2 linked regions of the Saccharomyces cerevisiae S288C genome follow. Changing the gene in region 1 together with any one later gene gives a genetic interaction. Each region holds a gene or a part of one and is shown on either strand. Other genes may lie near its edges. The genes, in order: AYT1 and DDI3.

The links.
Region 2: mutations in AYT1 (region 1) and DDI3 together harm fitness more than expected from each alone (negative genetic interaction), as found in Saccharomyces cerevisiae (one large-scale study listed by BioGRID).

What each region holds. Positions count from the first base shown.
Region 1 is NC_001144.5:13,826-17,876, forward strand, and holds AYT1 (acetyltransferase), read right to left. Parts: upstream 2,248-4,051; coding exon 823-2,247; downstream 1-822. Other genes in the region: S-adenosylmethionine-homocysteine S-methyltransferase MHT1, read right to left, coding at 2,814-3,788.
Region 2 is NC_001138.5:7,922-10,963, forward strand, and holds DDI3 (cyanamide hydratase), read left to right. Parts: upstream 1-1,623; coding exon 1,624-2,301; downstream 2,302-3,042. Other genes in the region: SNO3 (putative pyridoxal 5'-phosphate synthase), read right to left, coding at 2,380-3,042. UniProt on the Saccharomyces cerevisiae protein: Cyanamide hydratase involved in the detoxification and/or utilization of cyanamide, a toxic nitrile compound distributed widely in the environment.

The sequences.
Region 1 (4,051 bases):
TTTCGGTCAAAAAGAATATCCGAATTTTAGATTTGGACCCTCGTACAGAAGCTTATTGTTAAAGCCCATACTCAGTCTGTTCTAAACGGCTTCCATGGAAGAAAAATAACTATATTATAGCTTTCCTAAAAGTTTAATTAAGAATAGCAGACATGTGTTGGGAGTCGTATATTGTTAGAATCTGTAGTTTTAGGTGTTCTCAGTAAATTCATTGAAACAATTGCGTACTTGTAGGCTTCTGAGAAGCAGATAGTAGTCAAATAGTTGATATCTAAAGAGCTGCCGAAGGGGGTTTCTGTATCCGCGTAAGTAATTTTTTGAAATTTTAATGTGATTTTTGGCGGAATGGTGTGAGTGGTTCACTTCTCATCTTCAATTTCATCGTCTTATATTTCGATAATAAAACAATACAGTGAGCGTTGTTATTAAGTAAATCATAGGCACTTGGTATCATATAATTCAAAATCAAGTAGTTGTAGTAGTGCGTGTGTGCGTGTTAGTAATTGTTGATGGCCTAGTTCATCTCCTTATTGAAAAATGATAAACAGGTGGCAGTTTCAATTGTAGTAAATATTTATTCATTTTTTTATTATTGCTAACGTATCTGAAGGCTACGATGTAACGCAGCTCATCTCTTTTAAACATAAAAGTCATTTGTGTAATGTAGAGATTTACAAAGATTTTAAAAAAATAACAAAACTATACAAAACTATCTATATTTGAATACTTCCTACTATTTTTTTTTTTTTAACTATAATGAATGAATGCATGCCATATTGACTTACGTAACAAGGTGGCCTATTGGTAATATATTACATATCATCATCCTATATGTGTAGCATAATTTGTCCATTCTTTATCCGCATTCAGGCACTCCCAATCTTTATCTCTAAGGCAAAGAGCAACCACCATTTCACCTCTGGAGGATCTAGGCATAAAATATATTAGGCTCTCAAGGGAAATGAAGCGCGGCCGTCGTACACTCTTGGGCTTCCCAAGCCCTAGATTGAAATCAACGTCATACAGGCTGACTTTTGCCCACGAACTGACCATAATTCCAGATAAAGTATCAATTGGTTGAGGTATAGAAACCTTAGTCTTGTCCGGGCATCGGCTAAGGAGCGTAGCAAGTGCGCATGTATTATAGGCCAAATCGAAGACTTTAGGGTCTAGCTTCCTGCGAATCTGTGATGCAAGAACGCCCAAACTTTTATGATCCAAGCTTTTCAGGGAACCTGTATTAAAGGTCATGTTGACTAATAACCCTGGATACGTTTCGGGGAGTCCTAGCCGTTTTCTAACATCCACAGCACGCCCTAAATTTGATTTCGTTTCTGGTTTAAGTCGAGATAAACGGGCTCGAGAAACTGATTTCCAGATGAAAGCAGTGACGATATCATCAGTGGAGACAAATTTTGTGCCAGAAGTACATGTCTGCATTGCCAAAATCCTCAGATTCTGCAATGAGATAGCAGAAAATTCAACATAAGCCCAAGTAGAGTTCGAAGAACAAGACTGTTCCTTTTCCTCTCCACTTGTATTTCTAGAGGTTTCCACTATTTCATGAACTAGCGTGGTGTCGGGTTCCCAAGTTTCATCAAACAAAGGAATAGATTTGCTTTTATCTATATTTCCAATGAGCAGTTCTTCATCAGAGAAAGGTTTTTGGTGGCAAGATTTATTGAGCAAGTTGATGATACTTTCCTGTCCTGTTATATCCATAATATTGTGCTGCCCGACAATAGTTAAGACGAGGCCGCCGGAGATAAAGTTTGCTTGAACTGCAAATACAGGCCCACTCTTGGCGGCCATACCTATAGTGTTTCCAGGTGGATTGATAGTCATGCAAGGCGCAAAAGTCTTTTCGTCTAACATGTAGATAGGAAAGTCAGCTTTTTCAAGCGAATCCATTGTTGGGGCAGACAGATCTTCTCGAAGATCTTGGACGATAAGTGGAATTTTGTCTGACGGGACAATTCTGTAGGTACCAGTGTTACCTTCGTCAGCACCTTCATTTACGACATTTCCTGCTAGCCACTGGAAATTTTTAGCCAATGTTTCAAGTCCTCTTGTTAAGGTATTTACGATATGGTCATGAGCAGAAGGATCTGGTACACGGTAGATAGAGCATATTTGAGTGTATAGTTTGTATAGCGAAGGTTGTTGTCCCAAAATATCAAGTTGATCGTTTTCTAGCATCTGTACACTTTTTGTACGTTTCTGAGAGATGATCTTGACTCTAAACATCCATCTACCTTCAAAGTGAAATTTATAGTCACGTCCGTCATTATGCACGTCTTAAACATTAAAATCTTGATAAATACACTGTAAAAGCTTTAACGTTATTGGAATAGAAACTCTCATCACTCAGAGACCATCAGTTACCTGCAAAACGTTTCATATTTGTATATAAACCATGAGATTAAGTGGTCTGAAATTATGTATCATTTTTTGCATTCTAGCATGCCACAGCAAGGGGGTACACGTATTTTTTGATGGTGAATAAGATAGAAATGCATACCGTGATACTTCAAGCTGGCACTATCTTTATATCTTCCTCCGTATATAGCACTTGAAGCTCTGTATCTAGAATATCCTCTTTAGTCCGGGACGTGCCTCCAAATACTTACGGATTGGCGAAAAATATGCACTGAAATGTGTGCAAATTAACCAAAATAGGGCAGGCAGTAAAAAGTTCTAATGATTTTTCTATTTGATCAAGATAAAATAACCTTCTGCTGAGGACCGCACATTGACGTATATACACTGCTTTTAGTTTTGTAGATACAAGATATTTGTTAAAAGAAATTGAATTAGGAGTATTTATCTACAGCTGATGCAATTTCGGCGATATCTTTAGGAGACGTTCTACAACAACCGCCAATAATGCGCGCACCATTATCAACGAATTTCTTAACCGTGGTCTCCCAGTCATCCAACTTATTAGTCGGCCGGTGCCATGTCTTCTCTTTGGGATTGTAGATTTCTCCACTGTTTGGGTAAACTAGCAGAGGCATGCCAGGTAGATGCTCGTGCAACATTTTAAGAATTAATGCCGATTGATTGAAACTGACACAGTTAACTCCCATTAATAAGAGATTCTTGTTAATTTTATTTCCGAGGCCTTTTATATGGACAGAAATTTCTTCCAAAGTGGTACCGTCTCGTAGCAAACTATTGTCATCCACCGACAACCCAATATAAAAGGGCTTCGAAATAATATCTTCATCCCAGGATAAAATAGCCTTTAACTCATGAAAATTTGGAATCGTTTCAAAACCAATAAGATCAATATCTCTATTTTGGTTGAAGTTCTCCAGCTGGGGTTTGAAAAAGCCGTAGTAATCAATATTCTCAGGATGGGGACCATAGTCACCAGTATATTCACAGGATACATGTGCTGCCCATGGGCCAATACTCCCGATTAAGTACCTTTCCTCACCAATAAATTCACGAGTAAATGACACGATTTTATCGAGAAAACGCTTGTAAGCAGCCAGAGTTTTAATCGAGGTATTCTCAGATATGCTTTGAAAGTTTGCCTGGTAAGTAATTGTCATTAATATGTTTGCGCCAGCAATCATAAAGTCTCTGTACATTTCTTCTACCACCTTTCGCTCTTGAGAAGATGGCTCCCAAAAGGATTCGCTCGTAAAAGGAGCTGCAGACCATACCGGACTATTTATGTTAATGCCTCTGTTTTCCAATTCTGTACCCTGTCCACCATCAAGGATAAGAACTTTTCCGGGGTGCTCAACTATTAGTTCTTTGATTGGAATGCGCTTCATCTGTTTTTTGATTACTTTTTCAAGTTGCACACTAAAAGTTGCTGATTCAGATTTCTTCTACAACTTGTCTGTTTAAATTATCTTCCTTAGTAGTACATTTTCAAATTGGCGTTGTTGCTGTTTTGCTATTACCATTGAATACCTCGCCACAATTTGGTAGTACTTTCATGCCACAGTTTTTACTTTTCCACAGTTCCTGCAGGAATGGCTTTTTTTCATTAACTTTTTGCGGGGATAGCGAAGAGATGCCAGGAAATAAATGC
Region 2 (3,042 bases), on another chromosome or scaffold:
TTCTTGTTTTCCACATTTACTGTTAAATGAAGGGATGTACAGAAGGCTTAGGAAAACCTGTGCTGAATACTGGATGGACACTGCATTCCCACAGTGAAGCTTTTATAGATACACTGCCAGTTATTTTCGAACTTTCATCAAGTTGCTGAGTTTTAGTATCCCTTTGCCTTAGCTATATGTTTGAATGAGCAAAATATTTGCAATGTCTCTAGCTTTCTTGAAATATTGGTTTATATTGAGGGCTTGGTAAGATTTCAAATTTCATTTTGAAGTGCTCAGGAGAAAAATCATGCTCTTTTGATAATTTGGTGACTAAACATACATAAAACAGTTTAATTTTGGGTGGTAATGGCTGTGTGACTAGCTATAGAAAGAAAAAAATTAAAAAAAAAAAAAAAAATCAAGTAGTTCCTGCACTGCGACGTCCATTATAGCATTATAAATTGGTCCCTGATTTACGCATGCGATAAACTATTTTTAGCGCAGCCGCATATTATCCGAGAATAACTTCCGACATAAGAAAATTCGCAGAAAATAGATAAAAAAACTGCTCTTGGCATTCTTCACTTCCTCTATTACACACTGTGTCATACCACAATCATCTCACAGTATGTATTTGTATGTTTATACATGCTATAACGTAAAACAATGTAGAATATATATCTAAATACCTCACGGTTTTAGTTTAGTGCAGCCCACATACTACTTTTTTCCTTTTGTTTTTTTTTTTTATATTTCAAAGGTTAAACTCGCTTAGACTATGTCTATAATATAAAAAAAAAATAGCTCTATTCCGTTTCTTTTATTCTATTTGATATTTCCATCACACTTTCATCTTAATCACGGATGTATACTGATAATAGGGTTGACTGCGCCTGTACGGATTACAGTGCCCTCTTCAATTGGAAAATCCAAGCTTTCAAGATGGGTAACTGTTATTCAAAGGATCCTCTAAGATAAAACACAGATCGACAGATCCGAGAGTTGGCTTCTGTGCCTTGGGCTCAAATTCCTTTCCCACCTCATGCAAATTGATTTTTCTGACTCCAAAAAAAGACAGAGCCCTGCGATAGTTCCCGAATGTTGTAACATCAAAGCCAAGCACTCCTTTATAGAAGTCGCATGAACGTTGAATACTAGCAGCTGGTGAAACTACAGGGTCTAAACTAACTAGTATCCATATCTTTTTGAGAGCATTGAAAGTATACGGAGTACAAGCTGGGTTAGAAGGAATTTTTATCTTAACAGCAATGAAAATCAACTTTCTAGACTGAATCCCTCAAGAAAATTGCAAAAGACTAACTGATACTGGTTTAAAAGAGAAAGATGTCAAATATGCGGAGTTATACCATCAAACAACTTTGGACGGCCCCGAAACAAATGTCCGCAAAAAAGATCTTATTAAAGTGCATGGACACTATCATTTCTATAATACAAAATACTCCACCGCACAATAGTTTGTCGGGAAGTCATCAATCAATCTTGTACGAGCTTTACAAATAACTTTTTAGGATCGGTCCCCTCATAAAATTATATATAAATGGGTTAGTTTCCTTCTTCTTCTGTTAACATGAAGTTGCTTCGTACTGTTTTTTGCCTTGCTTCTCTTCAAAAGAATCAATCATGTCACAGTACGGATTTGTAAGAGTTCCTAGAGAGGTAGAAAAGGCCATTCCAGTGGTGAATGCACCTAGACCACGGGCCGTTGTTCCGCCTCCAAACAGTGAAACTGCTAGGCTTGTTCGGGAATATGCCGCTAAAGAATTGACTGCCCCCGTTCTAAACCACTCTTTGCGTGTTTTTCAATATAGTGTAGCTATCATAAGAGACCAATTTCCAGCATGGGACTTGGATCAGGAAGTTTTGTACGTCACCTGCTTACTTCATGATATTGCAACAACAGATAAGAATATGAGAGCCACGAAGATGTCATTTGAGTATTATGGTGGCATACTTTCAAGGGAGCTTGTATTTAATGCGACAGGTGGAAATCAGGACTATGCAGATGCAGTAACTGAGGCCATCATTCGTCACCAGGATTTGACTGGGACTGGCTACATTACCACCTTGGGGCTCATTCTGCAGATTGCTACTACGCTTGACAATGTCGGATCCAATACCGATCTGATTCATATCGATACAGTTAGTGCCATTAACGAGCAATTTCCAAGACTGCACTGGTTATCATGTTTTGCTACGGTGGTGGACACTGAAAACTCGAGAAAACCGTGGGGCCACACCAGTTCTTTGGGTGATGATTTTTCAAAGAAAGTCATATGCAATACATTTGGGTATAACTAAATAGGTAAGTTTCAATGAGGCGAGTTCAGAATGAACAGTGATGATCTCCTTTCTCCATAACTATACTATACGTCCCTTTTATTTACTGTAGTTTTTAAGAACAAATTCTCTGATGAACCAGTCGTGAAACCGTATATCGTTTTCTGCCAATTCCGGATGAAATGATGTCGCAAGAATATTGTTTTTTTGCTTAGCGGCAACAATTAGTTCTTGACCACCATTATCCTTCCCATCTAATTTGTACAGGACCTGCACATGTTCAGGATCCAGCACCTCTTCTATTACTGGGGCTCTTATAAAAGTAGCAGGAAAATCATTGCAGTGAGGAATAAAGTTTGAAAAGTCGCAAATCCGGGTAGAAGACTGAGCTTGTCTCCCAAATGCATTTCTTTTTACTTTAACCTTTAGTAAATTCAGCGTCTTGACCAGTTTTGCTTCGTTAGATAATTGTTGTGAAATATAAATCAAACCTGCACAAGTACCCCAGGTTACCTTGCTTGGGTTGTGTACGAATGCGTAGAGATCGTCGTAAAATCCTGTTCTTTCTGCAATAAGGGACATTGCAGTCGACTCTCCCCCAGGTATGATCAATGCATCACATTGAGCTAGTTGATTTTTATCCTTCACTGTCATCACAGATAGTTTTTTTTCATAGAAATCCCTGTTTTCGACGATGCATTTTTCTACGTGTCGCACATGTTCAATGAACGCACCCTGTAATGCCAAGACTCCGATAACGAC